5 linked regions of the Sus scrofa genome follow. The protein of the gene in region 4 interacts with the protein of the main gene of each other region in a pairwise test. Links are inferred from orthologs where the notes say so. Each region holds a gene or a part of one and is shown on either strand. Other genes may lie near its edges.

Evidence for each region.
Region 1: the proteins of UBQLN4 (region 4) and PTN interact in a two-hybrid assay, tested with the Homo sapiens proteins (2 studies listed by BioGRID and IntAct). The link is inferred for Sus scrofa from reciprocal best matches to the Homo sapiens genes UBQLN4 and PTN.
Region 2: the proteins of UBQLN4 (region 4) and ATXN1 interact in binary tests that used the Homo sapiens proteins (3 or more experiments, as listed by UniProt). The link is inferred for Sus scrofa from reciprocal best matches to the Homo sapiens genes UBQLN4 and ATXN1.
Region 3: the proteins of UBQLN4 (region 4) and PRPF40A interact in a two-hybrid assay, tested with the Homo sapiens proteins (2 studies listed by BioGRID and IntAct). The link is inferred for Sus scrofa from reciprocal best matches to the Homo sapiens genes UBQLN4 and PRPF40A.
Region 5: the proteins of UBQLN4 (region 4) and SPP1 interact in a two-hybrid assay, tested with the Homo sapiens proteins (2 studies listed by BioGRID and IntAct). The link is inferred for Sus scrofa from reciprocal best matches to the Homo sapiens genes UBQLN4 and SPP1.

Annotation. Positions count from the first base shown.
Region 1 is NC_010460.4:12,284,325-12,290,441, forward strand, and holds part of PTN (pleiotrophin precursor), read left to right. Parts: intron 1-2,359; exon of another isoform or gene 2,360-3,136; intron 3,137-3,521; 5' UTR 3,522-3,522; coding exon 3,523-3,637; intron 3,638-4,546; coding exon 4,547-4,720; intron 4,721-6,117.
Region 2 is NC_010449.5:12,320,759-12,326,875, forward strand, and holds part of ATXN1 (ataxin-1), read right to left. Parts: intron 2,232-6,117; 5' UTR 2,072-2,231; coding exon 137-2,071; intron 1-136. UniProt on the Homo sapiens protein: Chromatin-binding factor that repress Notch signaling in the absence of Notch intracellular domain by acting as a CBF1 corepressor. Binds to the HEY promoter and might assist, along with NCOR2, RBPJ-mediated repression. Binds RNA in vitro.
Region 3 is NC_010457.5:60,390,495-60,395,362, forward strand, and holds part of PRPF40A (pre-mRNA-processing factor 40 homolog A), read right to left. Parts: exon of another isoform or gene 4,125-4,868; coding exon 4,038-4,124; exon of another isoform or gene 3,952-4,037; coding exon 3,855-3,951; intron 3,772-3,854; coding exon 3,710-3,771; intron 2,562-3,709; coding exon 2,430-2,561; intron 1,067-2,429; coding exon 974-1,066; 3' UTR 1-973.
Region 4 is NC_010446.5:93,973,598-93,980,243, reverse strand, and holds the start of UBQLN4 (ubiquilin-4), read right to left. Parts: upstream 3,859-6,646; 5' UTR 3,765-3,858; coding exon 3,657-3,764; intron 1,722-3,656; coding exon 1,570-1,721; intron 1,064-1,569; coding exon 846-1,063; intron 276-845; coding exon 13-275; intron 1-12. Other genes in the region: ragulator complex protein LAMTOR2, read left to right, coding at 4,891-4,958, 5,265-5,427. UniProt on the Homo sapiens protein: Regulator of protein degradation that mediates the proteasomal targeting of misfolded, mislocalized or accumulated proteins.
Region 5 is NC_010450.4:131,078,650-131,083,755, forward strand, and holds part of SPP1 (osteopontin precursor), read right to left. Parts: intron 2,418-5,106; coding exon 2,337-2,417; intron 2,051-2,336; coding exon 2,009-2,050; intron 926-2,008; coding exon 617-925; intron 1-616. UniProt on the Homo sapiens protein: Major non-collagenous bone protein that binds tightly to hydroxyapatite. Appears to form an integral part of the mineralized matrix. Probably important to cell-matrix interaction.

The sequences.
Region 1 (6,117 bases), on a different chromosome or scaffold from region 4:
ACTGACAGGGCTTAATCTCTAAAATACACAAATGACTTACAGAACTCGACAGCAAAAAAGCCAACAACCCAGTTGAAAAATGGGCAAAAGACCTGAATAGACATTATTCCAAGGAGGATACACAGATGGCCAACAAGCACATGAAAAAATGCTCAACATCACTGATTATTAGAGAAATGCAAATCAAAACTACCATGAGATACCACCTCACACCAGTCAGAATGGCCATCATTAATATGTCCACAAATTATAAATGTTGGAGGAGGTGTGGAGAAAAGGTGGTGGAAATGTTAGCTGGTACAACCACTATTGAGAACAGTATGGAGATACCTTAGAAAACTATACATAAAACTACCATATGAGCCATCAATCCCAGATTTGGGCATATATCTGGACAAAAAAGACACATGCACCCACATGTTCACTGCAGCACTATTCACAATAACCAAGACATGGAAACAACCTAAATGTCCATCAACAGACAATTGGATTAGGAAGATGTGGTATATATACACAATGGAATACTACTCAGCCACAAAAAAGAACTAAATAATGCCATTTGCAGCAACATGGATGGAACTAGAGACTCTCATACTGAGTGAAGTAAGTCAGAGAAAGACAGATACCATATAGTATCATTATATCTGAAATCTAATATACGGCACAAATAAACAATTCTCCAACTTTCATCCCAATCCCTCTATCCCTCCTCCGTCTTTGCTCTCACTATAGTTAAGATCACTTGTTGAATAGACCATTCTATGATGCCAAAAAGTGGATGGTCAGGAAATTCTGGCCCTGCGAGACTTTTTTTATTGAAATTAAGTGAATTTGACTTGATTGAGAGAAAGCTTTTTGAAAATAATTATAAAAGTTAGAGCTGGGCAATGTCAAACTAGAAATGCTGAGGTTAAAGTAGCCAGTGATAGCACCTTTCTATTAATAACTCTGTGTGTGCATGTGTTATTTATGGAAGAGTTCTTTCTGTTTCCGCTGAATGGCCGTGTTTCTTCAGTGACCTCTCTTTCTGCTGTATGTGTACTAGGCTCTGCAAGGATCACTTCATCACTTGTTCAGAAAGTCCTCTCAAGAGCTGGGCTTTCATGATGGATATTTCCGCATTCGCACAATCATCTAATTCACAATCTAAATACTTCAGGTATTCGTAGGTAATCATTAAAAATAAAAGTATATTCCAACTTGGAAACAAATACTTAAAAATTTGAAAGTTCTGTATTTAAATGTTAACACACCCTTTAAGGAGAGTGAAGTGAAACATCTCTGCCTCCAAGTGGTTAGTCACTGAGAGCATGTTGTCTGTCACACAGCCTTTGAAGAAAACAACCAGGAGACCTTAAGTGGTTTACATTAAAGCTAATAATTGTAAATGATATTGGAATATGTGATGTATGTCCTGTAGTATAAATGCACTGGGGTATTCAACTCTGAGAAGACTTGCCAACCAGTAAGTCTAGACTGGCTTCTCTTATCATTCACGTCTAATGAAAGTCCTAGGAAAAGCCTCAGAGTCAGAACTTTTCTGTCTGATGGTCAGTGAGGTATAGTTATAAAATTTAGCATTCAGAGGAGGAACAAAGCACCTAATTTTAGATTTTAGAAAGCAATGGAGATGCTGAGCAGCTAATTAGGACTTGTGATTTAGCGAAAGGACCAAATGACCAAAATAGTGACTTTAACTGGTAGAAGAAATGTGATTCATCCATACATAGAATCCAAAGTCACTCATTATATATTTTGGATATTAATCCCTCGGCAGTCACTTCATTTGCAAATATTTTCTCCCATTCTGTGGGTTGTCTTATGGTTTCCTTTGCTGTACAAATTAAATTTAAATTAGGTCCCATTTATTTATTTTTGTTTTTATTTTCATTACTCTTAGGAGTGGATCAGGGAACTCTCCCAATAGTCTGTGATTATCTGTATGGGAAAAGAATGTGAAAAAGAATGGATGTATTATGTATGTGCATAACTGAATTACTTTGTTGTACAGTAGAAATTAGCCTGTTATAAATCAACTATACTTCAATAAAACTTTAAAAAATGAAAAAAAGTCATTCATAAAAAAACACTAATAAAGAATAGCATTTCCAATGTCACATAAAAGGGAAAAATTCACTGACAAGGATATTATTTCATAGCTATGATTGAATGAAGAAAAGCAAATTGCAGAAGAGAGTAATCTCAGCACCTTATATATGAGCAGTTTTATTGTTCATACTCAAGAGAATGTAAAATCACCTAAACTAATCTCTACCGCTTCAAAAAAAAATGTTCAGAGTTAATGGCCATAGGTCATTACTGTCATTATTATACGAAGTATGAAATACCATGAACATACCAGATGACTGCCAGGTGAGTGGCTGCAGCCAGTGACGTGTGTAGCTTCAAGAAGTGGATGTCCTGGGGCTTGGACTGAGGCTCCCAAGTCTGCTGTGTCAAGGTGACCACTTGTGACACGAGGCTGTCACAGGTAACTTCAAGTTATAGGAGAGTCTTTCTAATGAGTCTTTCCTGGGATTTTGATTCAGATCAAATGTGGAGAATTTCAAATCATGAGTGAGTATAAATTCTTCATTCCATCCTAGAATTTAGAGGATTTTCACCACATGAGAGTTTACAAAAGTGTTCTTGATATATATCAAAGGGGCCAGCTCTACTTCTGTTTCGTGCTTCACTCTTTGGTGGACCAGTGAAAAATGGAACAAGGATGATAAGATAATCATGACCATGAAAATGATTTTAAAAATCAGATATCAGTCATTAATGATGCATCTAAAGATAACAGCAAACCTATCCTTGTGCAGATAATCCATTCATTGTGTCCATTCAATTATCCACATGGACTACAGCACCATGCTTGTTTCTAGGAATGGCCAGGAGTTGTAAGGATGGCTGTAGTTACTGACATTACCAAGTGTCAGTATCAGCAAGACTTACTGTAGGAGTCTGTTCAAACACATGCCATCAAAATTCTTTGAGACATAATTCTTGAGTCATACTTAGCAAACGGTGGTGTGTGAAGTCTTCTACGGAAAACAGTTGTATTTAATTAGTGAATACATGACTGATTGCAGAAGAACACATTTCAGAGACTGTTGGAGAAGATAGGACTGCTTCATGATATAAAATTTCTTTTTTTCTTTTTTTTTTTGTCTTTTTTTATTTTAGGGCCACACCCGCAGTGTGTGGAGGTTCCCAGGCTAGGGGTGGAATAGGAGCTGTAGCCACTGGTCTACACCCCAGCCACAGCAACGTCAGATCTGCGTGGCCTCAACAGATCCTTAAACCCACTGAGCGAGGCCAGGGATTGAACCCACATCCTCATGGATACTAGTGGGGTTTATTAACCACTGAGCCACAATGGGAACTCCTGATATAAATCTTCTTAAAATCGAGTATTCCAGAAATGGAAAATGGAGGCCTTCATCAGGGAGTTCAGTGCGCCTTCCTCTCTGACCTGGGTTGACACCCCTGTCTTCTGTTTCTCTGTTTATTCCCAGAATGCAGACCCCACAGTTCCTGCAGCAGCGTCGAAAATTTGCAGCTGCCTTCTTGGCATTCATTTTCCTTTTGGCAGTTGTGGATACCGCTGAAGCAGGAAAGAAAGAGAAACCAGGTAAGCAATACGGTTATGAGCACGAAACTCTTCCTTAAGTAATGTCCCCTTAATCCAACTACCTGATTTTGTCCTTTCTCCTTCCCTCCCCCTCCCTCCGTCATTTTCTTCCTACCTTTCCTCTCTCCAAGTATTCAGAGGAACCTAAGAGACATCCCCTCTCACTTCCATCCCCCTCAACTGTAAGTCCTAAAAAAGGGATGAGGATCATTAACTTGAGCCGCATGACAGTGATCACAGTAAAGACCACAGCAGCAGCTACTGCGTTTGGAAAACCGACCAGCAGCGATCAGGTGTTTTGCTTATGCTCATACCTTCCTCCCAAAGAGTCCTAAAAGGAATTTTTGTTTTATCTCATATTGAAAAAGGAGGAAGGCGAAGCTCAGAGAGGATGAAGCACCTTTTCTATGTCACTCCCCTTGTCCTAAGGGGCTGTGCAGCTGGGAGTCTGTTTACAGCTGCGTCCACCACACTCGCCTTACGCTATTCCTCCTGTACGAGAAAGGAACGTTGAGACATGCGTCGAACTGGCTAACCTGACAACTCTTACTTCTCATAGACTAGTTTCTCATTTTTCAGGTTTAACTGACTTTGACCATCTTCTCTTTTTACAGAAATGTTTGCTTCTAAAAGGAGAGATCAGTGAATCACTTAGCACAGTCCTTGATACATAATAAGAATTAAAATGAATAACAGTTCTAGCTCCACAGTTTTCTTTCTCCCTTCTCTTGGTCATTGGTTGATTGAACCATTCAGCTAACACCTATCAAGTTCCTACTCTTACTGAACACTGAAGACAAAGGTAAAATGCCCAGACCATGCAATTAAGGAGATCAGGAATGGACTTAGTTATATCTAGGAGTTAAAGATTTTTCTGGATGTTGATTATTTTTCTTTCCTCCCTTCCAGAAAAAAAGGTGAAGAAGTCTGACTGTGGAGAATGGCAGTGGAGTGTGTGTGTGCCCACCAGTGGGGACTGTGGGCTGGGCACCCGGGAGGGCACCCGGACTGGAGCTGAGTGTAAACAAACCATGAAGACCCAGAGATGTAAGATCCCGTGCAACTGGAAAAAGCAGTTTGGAGGTAAGTCCCACCCCTGCAGTCCTGTTGATGTCATCTTCTACCCTGAGATAATTCTTGCATTCTTCTACCAAATACCTTTTTGAGGTCGATTCTATTTATTTTAACACATTTATTTTCTCAGATGCAGCCTAACCGGGCACTTTGCCTACCCCCAGGTACCTCATTTTCAGTACTACTAGCATGGGAGGGCTCAGATAATTTTTTTGTCCTGGATGGAGGGTTATTCTGTGCACTGTAGGGTATTTAGCTGACTCTCTGGCTTTTACCCATGAGTTTCTGGGAGCATGCCCTCCACCTTACCAACTGCAGCAACTGAAAATATCTCCAGTGTAATCCAGTTATAATGGAAAAAAATAAAAATCATTACACACACACACACACACACACACATATAAAGAAAATTCCTCCAGATAGTGCTGCACATTTCCTGGGGTGAGTGGGGGGTGCAATAGTCCCTGACTGAGGCCACAGGCTTTACCAATAGGGATAGAAATGAACCCTTGATCCCTCTTAACAGTGTTCTCTTTCCTTCTTCTATTTCTAGATTCCTTCTGTCTCCCCTTCCTTTTTTCTTATTTATTCTCCTTCTCCCGATCTCTTTCTGTCACTTGCAGGCCCTCTCTCTCTTTTGCTCTCTCTCCACTTTCCACATGGGTTTGTAGATTCACTTTCCAAACCCAGCAGGGTTGCTGTGAGCCCCTTTTCATAGATTTTTCTCTCACCAAATACTGCCAGTTTCATGCTGACTTCATCTACCTACTTGAGAAGAATCTTTCAACTCCTTCAACTTTAAACCCACCACTGAACACCCAGTTCCTTGATTTTTTCACATGCCTAGTGGGACACGATGCCCCAGATATTCTCCCTGGTCTACAGGAAGGTGCTTTGACCTAGTGACCAATGGAGAAGAATAATGAATAGACACACTATATCTTTTTCATTCTTTATAACTTTGGGGGTTATAACTTTTTATGAGTAGAGGTAAATTCTGTAAAAGGATGGTAAAATTCAGATACATTTAATCTTGAATTGTATATGGATACCCTAAGAATGATATGCAAAATGTCTTAAAAACTGTGTCTTCAAGGTCTTGTGTCTAGAATATATAAGAACTCTCAAAACCAACAATCCAGTTAGAAAGTGGGCAAAAGATAGGAACAAACATTTTACTGAAGGGGATAAATACATGGCAAATAAACATTTGAAAAAGTGTTCAATATCTTTTTCCTATTAGAGAAATTAAAATGAACACCAATGAGCTATCATTCTGTATTACCTATTAGAATGGCTAACATTAGAAATCACATCAGATGCTAGTGAGGATGCAGAGAAACTAGATCATGCATGCATTGGTGATGGGAAGGTACATACAGAAGCCACATTGGAAGAGAGAATGG
Region 2 (6,117 bases), on a different chromosome or scaffold from region 4:
GTATAAATGAAAAACCCTTTATCACCCCCTAGCTGCAGACAAGTCTGCCTCTTGGAAGAAATTCATCGTGCCGGGAAGCTATGAGAGCGGGCAGGGCAGGATGCCCCCATACCTGCGTGATCTGCAAGAACGTTACCTGTGCTCGGTGATCCCCGACGGCAAACTGTATCACCGCAACGCCTGGGCTGTGGCTGTTCTCAATCCGCTCCACGGTGCTGGAGTCGATCTTGAGGTCGTTGCTGATCTCCGCGCTCTGGATGAAGTCTTCCGTCTTTAGGTCTTCCACCTTCTTCAGCTCCCCGTTGGCCAGCTGGATGATGGAGCCTTTCATGAAGTAGGGAGGCAGCGTGGGGGGCGCGGCTGCGGGGGACGCCACCGACTGCACCACGGGCAGGTGGATCTGGGCCTGCACCATGGCCGGGTAGGCGGCCTGGGTGACCAGGGCCTCCGGGCTGAAGTTCTCGTTCTTGGGCAGGGCGGTGGTGACGAACGTGTGAGGCACTGCAGCAAACTGGGGCGATGACGTGACGATGGCCGAGGCCGCTCCCGACCCCTCCATGTCGGCGCTGCCGACGGGGATGAGCAGGGGCTGGGTGCCGGGGATGACCAGGTGCTGGGGCAGGCCGCCGGCGTAGGTGATCGCTTGCTGCTGGCTGCTCAGGTAGCCGATGACGGGTGGCTGGGTCCCCGCATAGAAGGCCGTGGCCGGAAGTCCGACTGGGAGTGGCTCCGAGGCGCTATGCGTGGTCTGAATGACCGTGTGGGGGGACAGTGTGGCGACGGCGGCGGCGGCGGCGGCAGCAGCCTTCACTCCTTCGGGGCCCAGGGCCTGCTGAGGTGACAGCGCGTAGGATCGGTGGCCGGGCTTCCCTAAGTGCAGGCCGCTTTTGTCGTTGAGGGTGGACGGGGAGGCCTCCCGGTGGGTGACCTGCTGCACCTCGAGGTCGGCGGCAGGGGTGCTGCTGTTGGGCAGGACCATCACAGAGGCCCGCACGCCCGACGAGTCCCGGCTGCCGTAGTCGGCGGGGCTGGGGTGGACCACCACGTGCCTGGACTCGTAGGGGTGGGGGACGGCCTTGCCGCCCGCCTTCACCAGGCCCAGGTCGGCCGAGGTGGGCGCCCCGTACCTGCGGCCCTTCTCCAGCTCCCCGTTCAGGATCTCCTTGGCCTGCATGGCCTGCTGCAGTCGGCTGCTCTCGGCTTTCTTGGTGGCCTCGCGGGGGACAAAGTGGCTGCCGGAGTCGGTGTACTGCACGACGACCTGCGGGGAGGGCCCCAGGGTGAGCGTGTGCGGGATCATGGTCTGGTGGGGGTGGAGGTGGACGGGGATGGCCGGCGGGGAGGCCGGGCGCGCCGCGGTCTGCGGGGAGCCGGCGATGTGCACGTACTGGTTCTGCGGGGTGGGGGGTGGGGACCCCGGGGGGAGGAGCCCCGCAGTCCTGCCCAGGTGCTGCGGTGGCGGTGGCGGCGGCGGCGGCTGCTCAGCCTTGTGCCCCGAGGCCTGGCTCAGGCCGCCCATGGTGGCCAGCAGCGTGGAATAGGCCTCCAGCTGGGAGCGCTGGGATGGAGTGGCGGCCCCCGCGGCCGAGGCCACCGCACTGGTGACGGGGCTGGCCGTGGGGGAGATCAGCTGGGAAGGGATGAAGCCGGTGTAGGGCCCGCTGTACTGGGAAGACCCAATGAACTGCAACGGGTGCGCAGGCAGGTGGGCGTACTGCACGGGCGACACCGGGGCCCCGGACTGCGGGGGCGGGTACGCCGCGGGCATCGTCGTGGTCGCCGGGACGGACCGGGGCGCGCTGGGTGGGGAGTAGTCCAGCCCCGAGGACAGCGCTTTGTGTAAACCTATTCCCTGTTGTAAACCGAGCTCCGGCGGGGGCCCCGCCGGCCCGAGCCGCCCGCCAGCGTGGCCACGGGCGCCCGCGTGGCCCGGGAGCCATGGCACGCCCTCCGCGCGGTGGTTGTCGCTGGGCACGGCCGTGGCCTTGTCCTCCGACGGCCGGCTGGTGGCGGGGATCTCGCGCTTCTTGGGAGGCAGGCATTCGTTGCTGCGCTCTTGGTTGGATTTCATTTTTCGCCGTCCCCCCTCCACGGTGACTGTTTCACTGTCTGGCTGGCTCTGGTTTTAGTCTGATAAACGGAAAGTCACATTTGATTTCTGTAGGGGATCCAGGCGCTTCATGAGGAATCATCTCCCCGCGGGGGCGATCCGCCAGCAGCCGCTCTGGAATCTGGGGAAAGGAAAGAGGATCGGGATGAGGGTAAGAGGAGGAGGAAAGAGAGGGAAGAGGGAGAGGGAATCAGAACATCAGCACCAGAAAAGAACGTGCTCCCAGAGACTCCGACTAGGCTGCTGGTGTCAACGTGAAATCCCCTCCTTCGCCCCAGGGTCAGAGCAGGTGACACACCGGCCTTGTTGGAGCTCATCAGAAGGACCATTCAGACAGGGAGCAAGTCAAAGCCTTTTTTATGGACTCAGCAAATCTCCTAAGACATCTCTCAATACCCTCTCTCCTTTCTTCCTGTTTTTTTTTTTTTTTTTTTCCTTGAGAGTGGACACTTGTGTTTCTTAGTTTTCCTTCCAGAAATGCCACTTCTACTCCTCGCCTCTTCTTTACCTGGCTGGAAAACTGGAATGAAGCCCACAAGGATGATGGCACCCATTAGGGTCAGCCAGACCTGCCCTCAGAGACAGACCCACCCGGACTTTGAGAAACCAAGTCCTCCGTGGACTTGATAGTTACCCCTGATTCCTCATCTGCCTGCCATAGATGCTACGCAGATTCCACTGACTCTGGGTCCATATGGGATCCGCCACAATTCTCTCTTCCCTAACATACACACACACTCATAACACACACTCTCTCTTTCCATAGGCCAGCTCAGCAGAGCCAGCCCCAAATAATTCTATACCCCACAAGCTTCCAAACAATTCCCAGTACAGCTACTCACATGATAACAGAAAGCCAAAAGGAATCTGTGACAGTTAAACCTTGAACACAGTTATGGTTGAAAGTGCAACTGGAGTTCCCACTGTGGTGCAATGGGATCCGTGGCGTCTCTGCAGCGCCAGGACACAGGTTCGATCCCTGGCCCTGCAGAATGGGTTAAAGGATCCGGTGTTGGTTGCAACTGCGCCTTGGATCTGAACCCTTGCACGAGAACTCCATGTGCCCTGGGTGCCCAAGAGGGAAGAATCAGTGCGATCCTCAGGCTGATGCATCCAAAGTGTTCTTTCTTTCTTTCTTTCTTTTTTTTTTTTTTGTCTTTTAGGGCCGCACTAACGGCACATGGAGGTTCCCAGGCTAGGGGTCCAATCAGAGCTACAGCTGTCGGCCTACACCACAGCCACAGCAACCCTGGATCCTTAACCCACTGAGCGAGGACAGGGATCAAACCCGTGTCCTCAGGGATGCTAGTCGGGTTCTCCAGCCACTGAGCCACGACGGGAACTCTGAGGCTCTTCTTAATAAGGGTGACGTGCTTGCTCTGCCTTTGCCTCTAACTTCCCTTCTGGTCTTTGAATTTTCTCCCTATACCTTCCACCCCCTTCTCCTTGGAAAGGGCCAATCCACCCTTAACCCTAGAGACGAAACCTCTGCCGGACCCATCAGGCATGTGTGTTTCCATCTGGACGTATCATTAGTGAGCCTGGAGCCAGTTTTCAGGGACACAGATCTCAGTGTCTCAGAAACCACACAACTCTAAGTTACCAGGCGTGTGTGGGCAGACAGATGCCCACCTGGCAAGAGGCAGGTCATTAATGGAACCAAGAGGAACCAGGCTAACAGGTGGCAGGTGTGAGGGCCACCTACAGGCCACACGCTGTGATCCTGGGGAGGCGCAGGATTGGGCTCTGAGAATCCAGGCCCTGGGTTTTAGCATTTCTCCAACCCAGACCTCTTTTCTACGGTGTGAAGTTAAAACAGGCACAATAAGGCAGCAATTTTCAGCATATGACCTTTATCTGTGCTGAAGCAATATCAGTGTCCCTGGCTTATAACACAGCCCTTTTCTCTCTCTGCCCTCCTATGCTCCCCTCCTGCGCCAGCTCATCCCACTTCTCTCCTTAGAGCTTACACACCCCCTTCTCCAATCTGTAACTTTTTTTTTGCCAATGATGTAGTGGCCCTTGCTGCTTTCGCTTCAACATCCTTAATGAACACCATGACAAAAGGACAGATGACACAAAAGTTCTCCATCCTTCTTGACTTTGACCAAGCATTCAAGGAGGTGGAGGTTAGAAATTTGGGGTCTCAATACAAATGACATTTCGATAAGAAATAGGATTGCTCACATGACAAGAGAGGCACTTTTAAGACTGAGGCAGAAACAAAAAAGTAAGTAAAAAGAGCAAAAATATTCATGAAGAAATATCTCTGTCAAAAAAGTAATGGCGATTATCTACCTCCTTGACCCAGGGCTTTGTAAGTCCCAGATAACTGTGTTCTGTACAGTTTCCTCTTATGAAGAACATGGCACATAATTTACATTGAATATGTGCAAACTGATTAAGATGTCAGTGCTATGTTCAAAACAATGATAGATAAAATTAAACAAAAATTAAAGACAGTTGCCCCTTCTCACTGCTTAAAAAGTTCTGATAATAATCTTCATTTCTAAAGTCACTCCAAGAAAGGACTGCCTAAGTCTCACATCCCATACGGACTGGGAGAGAAGTCTTTTAAGAGATGGACCCAAAGGGAACTGTTCCATGCGCCCCCTGCTGGCTCCACAGTAGCACTGATCCAATGAAACCCCACAGGATTTCATTAGGGATGTTCATGCAAGAGTAGTATGTCAGAATCCGGAATGAGACTATTTGCATATAGTAGGCCCAGCCAGTAAGGGAATAGGTTAATTAGCCCAAGGCAGCTCTAGGGAAGAAAAAGCAGCAGCATAAAAGTCCTTTCAAAGCCAAGCAAAATGTCAAACATGTTCAGAACGAGGTCTATTAGCAATGCAAATGTAAATTGCCTGTACAACTGAATGCACCGTACACAAAACTAGAAAACCCCTCCGAAGGTACTTTTTAAAAAAGAACTCAGCTTTAGGGAATTTGAAAAAGAATGCTGACTTGATTTTCAGTAGGGCTTGCGTTTATTTACACCCTTTTTTTGAGACACTGGCTTAGTTGGCCCTAAAGATCTTGGTACAGACGCTATGACTGGTCTTCTGCTAATGACCAGTCAAACATATTGGCCTTGACACACAAATTCAAATATATCTTTCTGAAAAGCTGTCCATTGATAAACATCTTTTCTAGAGAATACTAATGCTATATTAAGTATACAAAGATTAACTGGTGTGACTGGGGCCAGACTAATACAAATTTTGACTCACCCTCCTCTTACAGTTAAAAGGACCATGTCTCTTATTTACCATTGCAGCTTGGGGACTAGGTTCTCTAATTCCGGAGTATGTGTCCCTTCTCTGTTTCCTGAGCTCCCTGTACTGTCATCAGGGGAAAGAAATCATTGTGAGGGTAGGGACTGTGTCTTGATGTATTTTCAGTGAACCACCACGAGAGGGCGCCACAGTACACCACCAGGTCCCTGGCACACTGGATTAAAAGAATGGAGAGGTAAATTATGCAGGTGGAAGTCACTTCAGGGAAAAAGAAGGGAGAGAAAAAGAGACCAGGAAGGGGAGAAATAAAAAGGAGGGTGGATGTCTGCTTTTAGGGTCTCTTTCTAGCTGCAGACAAAAGCCCTCTGTGTCCCCAGTTGCCTTCTCTGTGCTCAAACAGTGTTTCCTCTGGGCCCGTGAGGAGGTCACCTCCGGATGTCCTTTGCCACAACAGCAAGATTTCTTGGAAACACGGGGCCACACAGGATTCTATACCTAAACTGCCAAAGAGCCATATATGCAGATCGTAGGTTTAAACATTATTGTTAGGAAAGGAAAAGTGAACAAAGAGTTAAGAGATGGATCATGACAAATTCATTTCGGGTACATTGAATGTACTGTTCTGAGTACATTCATCTTAAGCTTCTTTATATAGACATTCGCATCTCTCTCCATCATCATCTTAAAATTTAGCTCCGTGGCATAAGGCCTTGCTCTTCCAAGGGTGGTCCTTGGACCAGCACCCCCAGCAGTTTGAGAAATGCAGAA
Region 3 (4,868 bases), on a different chromosome or scaffold from region 4:
AAGAGTTGAGCATTTTAAGTAGAAATAAATACTAGTACACGCTAGAAGAGAAGGTTTAATAATTGATAAAAATGTACAAAAATATTCAAATCAGAAATGCTTTAGAATGTGTACCATGAAGTCAATACTTTCTTAGTGAGTAGGGAAGGTAAAAGACTTCCTCAATGAAAAAAGAAAGATTGGATTTAAAAAAAAAAAAAACCAACTGTTAAAGAAATTGTTTAAGTCAACATTGACTTGTTTTAGACAAGGATATTGCAACCATCACTTAAAAGTTTGGTGGCACATTCTTTAGTAGGTCCTTAAGGCAATATATTTAAACTAATTTACAATTTGATGTTAACTTTTTAAACATCACCTCAAAATAATGCCCTCACAGTAGCCTTTTTAAAATGTATTCAGATGGTTCATAAAAAATAATGGTGGCTTTATTATAGTAGTGCTCAATAGCACCACTACAGTTAAGGGTCTACCAGGTTTCCATTAAGAACACCTATTTCTGAGATCACCATAAAAGATCTTATCAGCTTTAACCAGTTGGGTAGTGCACAAAAAAGCAGTTTTATCAGTTGCTGGTGCTTTTTTTGTACTACTAGATATCAAAAAATTTTCATTATATCTTCAAAATCCAACTTCTATAAAGTAAATCAAATCACCTCATGACTCAGATTTGAGAACAAAGTAGAGACACCTGCAGTTATCAGTAAATTGCCACCTTTAATCCATCCTGCAGTGCCCTATGAAAGGGTCACAGAGAGACAGTTATGACTGTATGAAAATATGATTCTTGATACAGAATCAAAAGTATTTTCAATTTCCTTTGCTTTTATAAAGTCCACAATAACAATACTTAAATGCACTTTTTTTTTTTCTGTGATATAATTAAAACCCAGTGTTATTTCAATTGAACTTAAAATAGAGTCCCTGGTCTGAATTAGACTTTAAATCATACTGTAAACATATTTGGTATAATTTATTGATCATCATCCAGTTGCTCCAGAAGGGTCCTTCTGCGCTTTTCTAATTCCCCTTCACTCAGTTCACTGCCAGAAGTGTCCCAATTACCCTAGAAAGACAATGAATACAATTATATTTGATGTCAGTACTCAAAAGATTAAGTAGTAATGAATCTTTGAAAAAAGAATCTGAAACCTATTTGGGTTCTCTTCCGGAAGCAAACACATCACAAGGTTTAAAGACTGACCTCTTCCCCAAAAGCCTCCTGATGGGTTGTTAACTAAGTACTTCTTTGTTACATTAAGAGAGAAAGTTAGAATGAGACTTCCACTTAATGGGTGTTCATTTCCTAGGTATTACATTCATTGCTAATTTTAGGTTGTCCTATCCAGAGTTTTGCATTACATAAAAGTATTATGCTTCAAAAAGCATACTATAAAGCATACTATGGTGTCCAACTACAGAAACATTTAAGATTTATGAGGACAACTCTTGGGCTGGGAGAAAAAAATACTGCATTATCTGTAAGAAGCAACTTTCAAAAGTGGACAGTCCACCATCTAGCTTTCCCCTTCAGGGATTTATTTAATCTACTGTAAGGAAGAAACTATTAAGCCACTAAATAAGCATAGAGGAAACATTCAATCCTCACCAAGGATGTGCATTAGAGTCACCAGGGCAGTTTAAAAAAAAAAAAAAAAAAGCCTCCACCCTATTCCCACTGAATCAAAATATCCAGAAAGAAGACCAGGGCTTGTCTACACAGTTTAAATCCTCAACTGGTGATTCAGAGGCATCACCCTTGCCAAGTTCATAGCATCTGTGGAAGGAATAATAAGGTGAAGAAGGCTTGTATTGTGCTCTGGCATATATGCATACACACAAATGGGAAACTAATTTTAATTTGATATTAAAATTAATTTGGTTTGTAGTATCCCCCCTTATTTAATACCTTCACTTCTTCCCCCACAATTTTTTTTTCTTTTTAGGTGCTGCACCTGTGGCATATGGAAGTTCCTGGGCTAGGGGTTTTTATAAGGCTGCAGCTGCTGGCCTTCATAGCCACAGCAATACAGGATCCTCAACCTGCTGAGCAAGGCTAAGGGTGGAACCTGCATCCTCATGGATACTAGTTGGGTTCATTTCTGCTTTAAAAACTGGAGTTCATAACCATGACAACTGTGGACATTTGGAGGGAAACCTCTGATGTCTCTTAAATTTTATATTCCTAAAAAAATTAGATAGAAAATTTCCATTGGCATTTCTTAATGAGAATGTACAGAGAACATACCTTTCTTAGGGTTAAACAATAGTTACAGAATTCTGTACTTCTTTCTAAGGAACATGAAATTTAGGATGCTTAAATTGGGTCATTCATAATCACATGTTAGAAAACTATTTTTTATGAAAGGTAGTTCACTGGCATTTCTATATTTTGAAAATACAGACATGAAATAATTCTAAATACTTACAGAATCCTTTCCAGTCTTTTTCTTAGGTGATTTGTGTTTTGATTCTGATCTTTGTCTAGTTCTGTCTTTTTCACTTTCCCGGTCTTTTTCTTTTTTATCCTTCTCTCGTTCAGCATCTGATTCTGGGGAGTCCTGTGTTAAATAAAAAATGTTAGCATTTTGATGAATAAATTGTTCTAGTAGAAAAAAATCCCTATATAGGTGATATTTAAGAACCTCCATGTATAACAGGGTATGTTTTCCTAGAGTACTAAAATTTGAATTATTAATCTCAAGGAATCTACAGCATTCCCAAGATTCATGGGAGAGGAATTCCCGTCATGGCACAGTGGAAACGAATCTGACTAGGAAGCATGAGGTTGCGGGTTCGATCCCTGGCCTCGCTCCGTGGGTTAAGGATCCGGAGTTGCCGTGAGCTGCGGTGTAGGTCAAAGACGTGGCTCGAATCTGGCGTTGCTGTGGCTCTGGCATAGGCCAGCAGCAACAGCTCTGATTAGACCCCTAGCCTGGGAACCTCCGTATGCCAAGAGTGCAGCCCTAAAAGACAAAAAAAAAAAAAGATTCATGGGGAGAGTTGGTCTTTCCTGAGGGAAAAATGACATTTTGATAGGGTTTAAAATACCACTAAAAAAGAGCATCACAAATTAAGTGTACCTTCATCCCTAAGATCAGAAGCATCTTGATTTGTACATAATGTTAAGAACTGAGAGTATAAGTTGTTAAAACATTTGACTTTGTGGTTCTTAGCAACAGCTGCAATATATACACATACATGGATCTTTCTCTAAGGTTACTATTAAAAAAAAGAGTGGGGATCTTAACACTGTGGTTCTTTTTTTTTTTTCTTTCAAAGCTCATCAAAAGATTTTAATAGAAGATTAAGGTGAACAACAGCTGTGACACTCTTGAATTTTAGGTGCCCACCTGAATTCTGTTGACTGTACAGGACTAGACAGAAAATTAGGTTCTACTGCCATTTAGGAAATTAAGGGCAAAAGCCTAGGCACAGAGTTCCCATTGTGGCTTAGTGGGTTACAAACCCGAGTAGTATCCATGAGGATGGCCTTGCTCAGTGGGTTAAGTATCTGGCCGTGCCTCAAGCTGTGGCGGAGGTCGCAGATGCGGCTTGGATCTGGCATTGCTGTGGCTATGGCTGTGGCCAGCAGCTGCAGCTGATTCAACCCCTAGACTGAGAATTTCCATATGCTGCAGGTGTGGCCCTAAAAAGTGCGCTCCTCCCCCAAAAGCCTAGGTGCAGTATAAAAATTAAGTCTGCTTACAGATTTATGCCTTCTCTTCTTGCTTTTCTTCTTATGTTTTTTTGATTTCTTATAACTTCTCTCTAAGCAGCACAAAAAGACACATGTCAGAATTTGAGGACATCCAAGTGTCAATGATTTTCATCAAGTTAAAAGATATGTTTACCAGATTCAGCACTAGAAGAATGTTCTGAAGCAGAGCGAGACTCTGATCTCTGTCTTTTTTTCTTTGAATGGCTGTCATCATCATCTGAATCTGACCCCTAAACAATACAAATAATTTCACTCATAATTATGCTAACAAATATTTCAATACACTTATGGTGCCATTTTAAATAAACTTCCTTACTGATCGAGAGCGGGAACGTTTCCTGTGATGTTTTTTAGATTTCTTAGAATGTTTCTTGTTCTTTGAATGATGATGTTGACATTCATGCTACATGGAGTGAAAGAAAAAAAATTTCAAGGAGTTCACACTTTAGACAGTAGATCATAAGATCTTTTTAAAGCTTCACAAGTAATTTTAGAATAAAAATGCCTTCAGTTTGCTTATTTAGAATGTACTCCCAACCATGAAACTGTGCAAAGAATTATTATCTAAATGTTCTCTTCTGTTCCTTCTTAACTATCCCATACCCAACTCAATTGACATCTAAACACAACGATGTTATTAAAATACTTTTTGTAGCAATGAGAATGGTGTGGGTACAATAGGGATAATTGATACCCTCCATAAAGGAATAATCTGCAGAAGAGTTAACACTGCTTTCAAAAACAATGAAATACAATTACATTGAAACATAGGTTTCTTGATGAATGTGGTTTTGGTTAGTGAGCTAGGCTCAGCACTGAGATAAAGAACCACCCCAGAGACATCCTTGAACTTCACTGAAGTTGGTCTCAGATATTAAAATGCAAAATCTACTCTTTCTTTTCACCCAAAAGTATCCCCTTCCTACTCAAACTTAAGACATTCAAAGACAATTTAATAATTCTAACTTAACATTTTCTTTTCTGGTTTCATGTGATATCTGTGGGCTTGAACTATTTTACTGTAACAATTAGTAGGCTAGCAGGAAAGGGGATATATAGCAATAAAAGCTCCTTGCCCCCAAACATACCTAAGGCTTTGAAAATAAATTCTGCTTTGGTTTACAAGTGGAAATGGAAAATCTAGTTC
Region 4 (6,646 bases):
TCTCAGACCCACCTGCCTCATGAGCTCAGGGTTGTTGAGCATGTGGCTGATCTCAGGGTTTCGCTCCATCAGCTGCTGCATCTGAGGGTTGGCCATGATCATGTGGCGCATCAGGTCAGGGTTAGACATCATGTCCTGGACCAGGGGGTTCTCCATGATCTGCGACAGCATCTCAGGATTGGACATCAGCTGCCTCTGCATCTGCTGCTGCAGTTCCATGAAGTTGGCGGAGCCCAGGCCCAGGCTGCCCAGGCCCAGGATGCCCCCAAAGCCAGCTGTGGGGAGGGGGCAGGGTCACGGTCTGTCACAAGACTCTTCCCCTACGTGGCCAGAGTCACTGATCAGGACTCCACGATGGGCCCTCTGCTTCTCACATCTCCCTTTGCCAGTCATTTCCACAGCCCCAGCCCTGATCTGCTGCTGGCAGAGAGATGTGAGCCTACTAGACCAAAACCTCTTTGATGGCAAAGGCTGACAGTCAGGCACAGCACTGAGCACAGAGAGGGCAACTGGTGATGGCCTAGTGAATGAGCAAATAAATATTCCCCAACTGGCCACTGTTAACCCACTTTCCCCAAACACCAATATCCTCACCTAGGGTTCCACGTATCCCCAGCCCCATATTCCTCCTCATGCTTAACATTTTGCCATGCTCCTTCTTCTGGGAAGCCCTCAGAGACTGGTTTCCTGTCCCATTTGGCTCAAGTACCACTGTCTGGAACCCTATGTCCAGGGGTCCCCTATCTCCACTGGGCCAGGAACAGGGACTATATTTTCTCCTCCTCCTGGCTTTCCCCAACTCCCCAGCCCCGAACAGGACAGTGCCCTCCTTCCTAAGGGCTTACAGAGTATGGATGCAGTGGCACTGGGAGGTCCCTCCCCAGTCCCTGGGGAGGGACCTCCTCCACTGCTCCTTCGGCTTCCACTGCCAGTATCCGAAGCGGCACTGCCAGAGGTGGAGGGCTGGGCAGGGGTGGCGGGTGAAGCAGGCGTGGTGGAGGGTGCTGAGGCTGGGTCTGGAGTGGAAGGGGAAGAAGCAGTGGCAGTGGTCTGATCTTGAGCCCTGAGGACAGAAAGAAAAATCCTAGTTGAAGCGAACACAAAAGGGAAGACAAGGATTTCTGTTTGCTATGCAGCTAGGGCCCTAACTTCCTAAGCAACCCTGAGGCTAAGGCAGGGTAGTGCTGCAGGGAATCAGTAAATCAGACAGAGGGAGAGAAGAGCCTTTTTTTGGGCCACACCCACAGCATGTGGAAGTTCCAGGGCCAAGGATTGAACCTGCCCCACAGCAGTGACCCAAGCCGCTGCAGTGACAATGCCGAATCCTTAACCCACTAAGCCACCAGGGAACTCCAGGATCCTCTATCTTCGGGGCATTCAGGGAGAGGTAAGTCAGGTTCCTTTCCCCTGGAGATGAGCTCACAGGGCTTTCTGGCAATCCATCCAAGAGGCACCTTCCTGGGCCTTGGCAAAGGCCTTAGATGTACAGTGGAACTACGGGTGACAAAGCATCAGTGGGGGTAAAAAAAGCCCAACCCGAAGCTGGACCTGCTCCTCTCCTGAACTTACTTCTGAGGGGTCTTGATGACCAGATGGACAGTGAGCCCATCCTTGATCCCATGCTGGTTCAATGTGTCCCCATCCTTGAGGATCTTGCCCGCGAAGATCAGGACCAGCTGATCCTGCTGAGCCTTAAATCTCCGGGAGATTTCCTCTTTGAACTGTGATCAAGAGGCAAAGGTCACTGTGGAGGCTGCCTGGGCTCCACCAACAAGGGACTCTGCCGCTTCTTCAAGAGCCTCTGCTCTAGTCTTGGGAAGTCCTTTCAGCGGTTCTAATTCCACTCCTCTAGTTGCAATAAGCAGCTCCTTTCTGAAGGAGCTGGACTAGAGAGAGCTCTACCCTGGGGACTCCCACCCTAGAAACCCTTTGCTCCTTCTTCTTTTTTTTTTTTTTGTCTTTTTAGGGCTGCACCCGCAGTGTATGGAAGTTCCCAGGCTAGGGGTCGAATTGGAGCTGCACCTGCTGACCTATGCCACAGCCACAGCAACTCGGGATCTGAGCTGCATCTGCGGCTTACACCACAGCTTACGGCAACAATGGATCCCCAACCCAATGAGCGAGGCCAGGGATCGAACCCGTGTCCTCGTGGATACTAGTTGGGTTCATTACCACTGAGCCACGAAGGGAACTCCAAGAAAGACTTCACTTCTATCTGCCACTCCATCTTCAGTCCCTCCACCCAGTTCCCCGTGAGGGTACTGCCTAGGCAGTTCTCACCATCCCAACTCCTTCAACAGCCTTGGGCCCAGGCCCTGTCTCCCTTCAGCCTTCTCTTCTCAGACCCCAAGTCTTTTTCCTCTCTTTATTTCCAGTGTTCTTGTGACAATGATGATAAACAGATCCCACTTATTTATTTAGGTATTTACATATTTATTGGCCACATTCACAGCATGCAGAAGTTCCTGGACCAGGGTTCGAACCCAAGCCACACAGTGACCTGAGCCAAAGCAGTGACAACGCCAGACCCTTAACCAGCTGACCCTTAACCAGTTACCAGGTAACACGTTATTTATAAAAGCACTAACCATTCAGAGTCTAAATCCCATGAGATACATGTTAACAATTATCTCCATTTTAAAGACAAGAAAACTGAGAATCAAAGCAGTTAGGAAACTTGCCCCGGGCAGACTGGAACTTAGGCCTCGATACCGAAGCCCAAGCTCTGAACCAAAAACATGGATCCTCTCAACTAGAGCTGATACCAAATTCAGCTTTGCAGCGAAAATGATTTCAATTCTGGAATGGAGTCATTTTATAAGGTTGGGGGAAGGGCAATAATGGCACTAAAAGCTGGCTTGGAAAGAGTTAAGACTCTACATCTATCCGCAACCCCCCTACCAACCCAAACTTACACTCTAAGTAAAAACAGTGCACTTGCTAAGCAAAGGCAGCTTCCAGATCCCTCCTTCCCAACCAGAAAGCCTATCTTAGCCCCGCCTCTGTGAAATTCTGGAGCCGCCACAGGCGGGTGGTGAACACAGCAATATTCCCTCATTCAGTCATTCACCACATTTTTCTTGAGCACCTACTGCACCTTGTGTAAATCCCAGAGGGGCTGAGAACCAAACGCAACTACCTTGATTTGAAAGAGTAGCAAAGATCCCGGCAGAGGGAAATCCTCCCCCCGCACCGGCCGGGCGTCAGAATGCTGGGCGTTCTCTGAGACGCACAGTAGAAGCCTGGAGCTTTCCTCGCCTGCGCCCCGCGCCCACTATCCGGCCTCCGCACCTTGCCCGGCTCCCACCCTGCCTCAGCGCCTCGAACCCCCGCTAGTAAGCGGCGCAAACACTCCTCTCCAACACAGGGTCCTTCCCCCTTGCCTGTGCAAGGTGTCCTCTTCCAACTCCACCACGCCCCCAGACCAGGCCACAAGGCAAACCCCGGCCTCCCTTCCCAAACACGCGCCACGCTACCCCGGATCGACCTCGCAGGACGCCCCCTACCCGCCGCCTCTTCCCTCCCGCTTCCCCGAGTGCCTGCTGGGCCCCCGCCCTCCTCTCCCCGGCCCTCCCATACGCCCGACGGTCTCAGAGACACCCCCCTCTTCACAGACCACTCCTCCGCACCCCCCCAATCCCCACCACCCGTACTACCTCCTTGACCGAGGCTCGATCGCAGATCACAATTTCCTCCTTGTCCTTAGGGGTCTTGACGGTGACCCGAATCGGGGGCCTCGTCTCGGCCCCGCTCGGCTCCGCCATGCCGCCGCCGCCGCCGCCACCCGGCCGCCCGCCAGCCCGCCCCGGCTCCTCCTCCTCCCCGCCCGCCCGGCGGTGCTCGGCTCCGGCGCCTCCAACACTCCCCTCTCCCCTCCCCTCCCCAAGGCTTCACCGCCCCCTCCGGACCAGCCGCAGCCACAGCGCCCCGGGCGGACCGGGGGGGCCACTGCAGCGGGGTCCGCCCAGGGCCGAGCCCGGGGTCTGCAGCCTGGGCAGGGCCTTGCTGGGCGGCGGCCCCCAAAGGGGCTGCTCCGGACAGGGGCGGGAAGCAAACTCTCCGGGAGAGACCACCGCCCGTGGTAGCCGGTCCGAGTCGCGCTGAGGTGCCAACCCCCCGCCCCCGGGCCCAAAGCTACCCGCCCCCTCCGCGACTAACTCTTTCTCCGGGACAAAGGACTTTCTGTGTCGCCGCTTTATCTCCGTTCCCTATGATAACTGGTCTTTCTTGGAAAGCCCAAATCCTTTCCAGGCCTGAGGCTTCTCCCGACTTGGAGGCTGAATTTTCCACTTCTGGATATCTACCTAAAACCTCTTCTGTAGGATTGACTTAATTCCCCTGAGGGTAGCGGCCTCCAAGAAGTCTATTCAGTACAGTTCCAGAGACCTGGATTTTTGCCTGCATGGCCTTTCTGAGCCTATTTCCTCAATAGCATCTATCTCCTCATCTCACAGAATTATGCATAATGTAGAAAATTGCTTTGAGAAGTAACCCAAGGTATGCCTGACAAGTATAGGAATTTTGTTTTCTTTTAATTACTGAATCGTGGATTGTCAAGCAGATATGACTCCTCTGCCCGAGAGGGTTAAATGTCCTTCCAGTACTGCCACTATCCTTTTACTCCCGCTCTTTTCCCCCATAACCGCGTGGTCTCACTGGAAAGGCGAACTGTAGTTCCCAGGGTGCCTCGCGAAGCTTCGAGGAACTACAATTCCCAGCGCCCCCCGCGGTGAGGCGGGGTTGAGTCAGAACCGCACAGTCAGGCCAGGAAACTACAACTCCCAGGAGTTCTGGAGCCGGGCAGCTGGACTACGGGAAGCGGCAGGCGGAGGCCAGTTATAGGAAACTCCGGGATCAGGTTGTGAAAGCCCAGGGTTAGGAGCCACAGGCATGCTGCGTCCCAAGGCTTTGACCCAGGTGCTAAGCCAAGCTAACACTGGAGGTGTCCAGAGCACCCTGTGAGTGCGGACCGAGAGGCCGAGCGGCGAGCACTGGAGTGGGGCTGCGCGCGGCTCTCCGAGGGAGGGGTGGGGAAGGCTCTCTGGGAAGGGAGGAGGTGGCAGAGGGGGCAGCCTTTGGGTGAACCGGCGAGAGGGCCACTCTTGAAAGAGAAACTGACGTGCTGGGTGTTTGGGGCATGTTCTAGGACACACTCAACCCAGACCCTTGCTTTCTAGGAGCGCCGGTGGGCGAGTTGGGATGGAAAGTCAGGTATTTTACTCCCCATCCTGAGCACGTTGATATCCGTTCTGATGCTTTTCCAGGCTGCTGAATAACGAGGGATCTCTGTTGGCCTACTCTGGTTACGGGGATACGGACGCCCGAGTCACTGCAGCCATCGCCAGTAACATCTGGGCGGCCTACGACCGGAACGGGAACCAAGCATTTAACGAAGACAATCTCAAATTCATCCTCATGGACTGCATGGTATGGAGAGGGGAGCCATTTCCTCTGTCCCTAAGGGGACCCCCAAGGGGCACCCTGGACCCCATCCTGGATGGTTGGGGCCCAGGGACAGGATTTCTGGAAGATTACTAAGAGTTGGTCTGCAGCAGCATTTATAATAGGCAGGACCCTATGTATCAAGTGGTGATGAGGAAGGAGTATTGGACCCGAGGTCTGGCTGGGTTCTAGTCTCAGCCAGCCACTTGCCATTTGTGGAACCTTGGGTAAGTCACAAGCTTTTTTACCACATCTCCAGTGTGAAAATAATCCCCACCACCACATCACGCACACAGGGTTGTTGTGATCAAATGAAAGGGTAGGTGTAAACTGTAGAGTGATATGCAGACACAAAGTGTTGTCATCTGAGATTCTCAGACTCAGAAGCATGGCAAAGTGTCCAGACCCTAGTCCAGTTCCTTCAGTTTACAGAAAAAGGAGATAAAGTCCAGAAAGAGGAAGCGCCATTAGACTGAATTTCTTGGGAACAGAACCTGTCTCATTCACCTTTATATCTGTTCAGTTAACAAATTTTTAGGTCCTTGCAGTATTCTCAGGACCTGGGAAAAAAATAGCAAACAGGACAAACAAAAACTGCAGCCCTAATGTCTCATATATGCCTTAAAATAAGTAAAATATGTATGTTTGTAAAATCAGTTCATAAATATGTTTTGTAACATACATACATAAGTTTAAAAAGTAGTATGTGGAGTTCCCGTCATGGCTCAGTGGATTAAGAACTAGTATCCAGGAGTTCCCGTTGTGGTGCAGCAGAAAAAAATCCTACTAAGAACCATGAGGTTGCAGGTTCAATCCCTGGTCTTGCTCAGTGGGTTAAGGATCCAGCGTTGCCATGAGCTGTGGTGTAGGTCGCAGACTCAACTTGGATCTGGTGCATTGCTGTGGCTGTGGCATAGGCTGGCAGCTGTAGCTCTGATTATATCCATAGGCTGGGAACCTCCCTATGCTTCGGGCGTGGCTCTAAGAAGCAAAACAAAACAAAAAACTGGTATCCATGGAGATGAAGGTGGATCCCTGGCTGGCTCAGTGGGTTAAGTATCCGGCATTGCTGCAAGCTGCAGCATAGGTCTCAGATTCGTCTCAGCTCCCATGTCTGCTGTGTCTATGGTGTAGGCCAGCAGCTGCCACTCTGATTCCATCCTTAGGCCAGGCACTTCTGTATGCTGCAGGTGCGGCCCTAGAA
Region 5 (5,106 bases), on a different chromosome or scaffold from region 4:
CTGTAGCTCTTTTCTGCTTTCTAACTTTCAGGCCAGTGTATTCTACAGAAATGTCTAAATGTGGCTGAAGTAATAATAATAATACCAGTGTGTTACTTTTTTTTTTTTCACCAGGTCCTTTTACTCTGTCATCTCCTTTACTTTAATAGGCACATCCATTATCTATGCAAGGAAATCTACGAGGCGGGTCTCGTCTGTTTTACATAAAGGGAAACGGAATCAGAAGTTAAAAAGTAATGTGAGTAGTAAATGGCAAAGCCATGTGCCAAATTCAGATCCTTTGACTGTGGAGTCAGTGTAATTTGCATCTCTCCAAGTCTTCTTCTGCATTGAATTTCAAAATGTGACCATGATAGCATGAAAAAGAATTACTCTTTTCGGAAGTCCTTTTTAAATTTAAAACAGTGAATAGAATAAGTGCTTTATAGCCAGGGTTTGGAAAAACTGCCTCGTGATTGAGAGACAAAATTAGGGAGAAATTATGTGGATTTAAACACAGGTTTTGTGTTCAAGTAGTCATGCTGGCTGAATGAGCGAATACATGAGCCTGCCGATTCTGGTTTCCTAGGACAGGGCTCTCCTCGGAACCATCGGCTGCGTCTGTTTCAGGATTTACCTGGGCTTCGGATCTGCGGAACTTCTTAGATTTTGACCTCAGTCCATAGACCACACTATCCCCGCGGCCATCATTGGGGTCTCCCGTGGGGACAGCCGGAGTGACGTCGGTTGCTGGGGTGTCGGTGGGGAAATCGGTGACCAGCTCATCGGATTCATCGGAGTGATGAGACTCGTCGGATCGGTCAGCGTCGTCAGCGTGATCAGCTTCCTCGGAGTCCGTGTCCCTGCTGTCCACGTGGTCTTCGTCGTCGTCGTCGTCCACATCGTCTGTTTGCTCAGGGCTTTCGTTGGACTTGCTTGGCAGGGTCTAAATATCGAGATGGCCAGAAACATGGGTGTGAGAGTTTTTAATTTCCCCTTAGCTCGACAGTGCATCTGCCGCTTACTATCTTCCTTTCGTGTGAGAATCTTTGCAGTCAGGACAATGCACTCCGTGGCCCTTAGGCGCTAAAGCCAGCATCTTCTGATTTCTCTTTTAACGCAATGATAAGTGGCATCATATTCAGGCATTTTTTCTGGCTTTCTCACAAAAATTATTTTCATTGGTATTTTCAAGCCAAATATCTGAGTACGATACGTACGTAATAACACTGTTTTTCCTTGTTCACATTAGACATTATTCAATTTCCTGAATTCAATAATGTAATAAATACAGATACTAACTGTGGAATTTCTTTTTCTATTTGAAATGAGAATTCTCAGGCCATCAGAGCATTCATATATCAGTAATGTGTACCCCCCCACCCAAAATCCCTTCCCTATTAGTCCGGATAATTAAAAGTGACTCTGTTATCCATATATATATATATATATATATATATATATATATATATATACTGCAGCTCAAAATCAGTTCGTGTCTATTAAACATCTGATTAGCAAATATACTGGGCTATTTATCTACCTTTCCTTATTAGAGATTCTTAGCACCTTCAAATGGAATCTTAAGGAAGACAGCTTTACCTTATCCCTTTGCTTAGGAAATATATGAATAGTCCCAATAAAAAGAAGAGCTATTAAAAAACTATAATGTTAGGAACAGAAAAGTTCCTGGAGGCAAAATCTTGTTTTTGGTAGGCATTATTTAGATACTTATTAGGTATTAGATGACATCAACCACATACCTTAAATAACTGCAAAAGGCTTAGTATTTCAAACAGACATGAGTCAACACTTCCTGCCACAGTAAACGTATTTGTAGAAACCTGGTATTTTTGACATTTAGGAAATACTTGCGCTTTTGGTGAGCAAATTTTAGACGTGATATTTACTGGATCATTTGCTAACGTAATTTTGCCGGAGTTGAGCCCTGGCAGTGTCACTAGGAGAAAGAATGGCTTCCTTGGTCCCTCTGTGACATGCCGGACCTTGGATTCAGAGTGAAACTCACCTCTTGTTTGAAGTCGTCCGTTTCCTCCGAGGAAATAGTATTCTGAAGAAGGAAGGGCACAGATCAGTGTACATCATACATGCTTAATTTTTAAATTCAGAAGGTAGCCTTTTCCATCCACAGCAGGTCTTATTTTTTAGCCTCATTGGTGGATGGCTTTGCAGGGAAGACCACATGGCAGATCAGTTGCTCGAAGTTCATGTTTACCAACCAGCAGGAAAGAGCCATTTCATCAGGCTAAATGACCTGCTTGGTAGTTACAATTTGTGGTGGTGGTTCTTTAACCATGAGAATTTTAATATTTAAAATAAGTTAAAATCAAAAGTACCTGTGGCGCTAGGAAAGTCTGCTTCTGAGATGGGTCAGGCTTTAGCAATGTGGCTACAGCATCTGTGTATTTGTTGGAAAGCTACAAAAAAAAAAAAGAGTTGCACATTTGTCATTCTAGAAAAAAGAAGCAAGGATCTCTAAGTGATAACCTGAAAACTTAGGATAAGCATAACAAGCATGACACAGTCAAAGAGAGCCTTAGATATACCTGTCATAAGGTCTTCTTTCCGGAACATTCCTTTAATAAACTCTTACTTAGCACTGACTGTGAGCCAGGCATACTTTCAAAACTATTTATAAATATTCCTTCTCTTAATCCTGGAGTAGGTGTCATCCTCATTATTCTCAATCCCATCTTGCAGATCAGGAGACATTCAGCCACAGTGAAGTCAAGTGAGAGTCAGTGGCAGAGCCGGGGTTCAAACCCAGGGGCTCTTCACACTGGTGCTAACACTGCTTTCCTGTGCTCTGTGTGGCAGCTGAAATTCCTCTCAGATGAGGCCAAACTGAAGCGGAGGTGCCCTCATTTAGCCCTGCTCTTCCTTGTTTTCTTTCTCTATGGAACAAGGAAGAAACTCTCCATGGCTTTGGTGGCCACGAAACATATGGCTCTTTAAATTGAAGTTGATTTAAACAAATTTAGTTCCTCCACGGCACAGCCTACATTTTGAGTGTTCGCTGGTCACATGGGTCTAGTGGCACCCCAGTGGACAGTCAGAAATCTAATATTTTACTGCTTTAAGGTGCCAAAGGCATGAATGGGAAGGCCTTTTATGTAGACAAGTCGTTTTTCTGGAACATGGCAATAATATGCTAGGAACGGAAATTGCAATGAACAGGTGTCATCGGGCAGGCTGCATGGCCCAGGGTAATCACTTCACATTTCTGCCACTGAAAACGATTACCCGGGGTTTCCAAGAGCTCCTTCAGAGCCACCAAGGAGGGGACAAGCAGGAAGGAAACCAGTCGGTAGCCCTTTGGGTTTCCCATGGCTGGCTTCAATCAGAGCAGCTTCATATCAGGCCTCTGTGAAAGCTCTTGCTCAAAGAAGGGGCTCCTGGAATTAAAAGATGTGAAACCTACTGGCCTAGTTGAGTTTACAAGTTCCCTCTTTCTTTTCTTTAAAATATAGATTTACGTAAATGCTATATGCATAAATATGTTATCTTCGATGTATTTTATACATATTTGGATGATAGGTGTAATACAGGCTTTTCTATATTTATAGGATAAATGTATAATTTTAAATAGAACCGGAGTTCCCACTGTGACTTAGTGGTAACAAACCCGACTAGTATCCACGAGGATGCAGGTTTGATCCCTGGCCTCACTCAGTGGGTCAAGGATCCGGCATTGCCATGAGCTGCAGTGGAGACTGCACATACAACTTGGATCTGGCATTGTGTGGCTGTGGTGTAGGTCAGCTGCTGCAGCTCTGATTCGACCCCTAGCTTGGGAGCCTCCCTATGCTGCTGGTGCAGCCCTAAAATGACAGAAAGAAAGAATATATGGATAAGAAAAACAAACTAAAATCACTCATAGGTAACCAGTGTTCCTCTTTGGAGGTTCTCTTTAGAGACTTTCCATATTTCCTACCGGCTCTAGATTTCTAGGATTCTAGAAGGCTCAACTCTTTACTTATCTCCCAAGTGTCAGTGAACAACTGACACTGCCACGGCTTCCTGGGCCATAGTTTAGTCTATTAAAAAGGCACAAAGTCCTGCCTTAAAGAGCGTGACCCCTGTCTTCTCTGCAAATATTACTTTTCTGGCTTCTTACTGTGATTCAGTACTTGTGCTCTTAACTCAGTTTGGAAAACAGACACACTCACACACACCCACTTGCACGCCCAAACACACACAGCGATACGTCTCCTAACATCTTCTTTAAGCCATCTCACTGCGGTGTGACCCCAGGCAGCTCTCTACTGGCCTTTATTCTGTTCTTCTGGAATTGAACTCTGTGTGCCTTTTTGTCCAAGCTCCCTGGGACAATGCCCGCCTGTTGCCTGGCTGGCACGGTTTCCCCTCTGGTGGGAGGGGCAGTACATCAATGGCGCTACAAATCATTGTAATCAAGAGTTTGCCTTGGTTTTATGCCTGGTGAGAAAAATGTGATCTGAAGTCATCTGACAAGCACAGCGGATATAAACAGCATAAATAGACTTCCTTTTTTCCCTATAATCAATAGAAATTTTATATCATTCCTTTTGTTCTCTTTAAAAAATTAATGTATAGTTGGTTTATGATGTTGTGCCAATTTCTGCTGTACTGCAAAGGACTCAGTAAATTCTTTTAAAATATGATTTTCCATCATGGTCTATCCCAGGAGATTGGATATAGTTCCCTTTGCTCTGCAGTAGGACCTTGCTGCCTATAGATTTTCTTTTTATGATGGCCTTCTCAGCAAATATCTTAGGAGCTCTTGGGACTGTTCTGGTTATACCAACTCACCAATGTGTGAGGTGAATTTTAAACTTGACCTGCCCCCAAGTACAGCAAAAGATGGAATTTCGTGCTACTGGAACAGTGTGTTGACTCATGGGAACAAAAAACCACACAAGTTCATAGAACTCATTTTACGTAAATGATAATGGCCCAGAGCAAGATTTTATTCTATTAAAATATTTAGTTTGGTTTTAGGAGATGACAGTAATTAAAAGCAATCCTGTGCGTGGTACTGGCCTAGAACCGTAGCAGGCATTCAATACATACTTCTAACTTATTTTGTTTAACTATGAAATAAGTAAAATTGCCGTATGTTTGTAG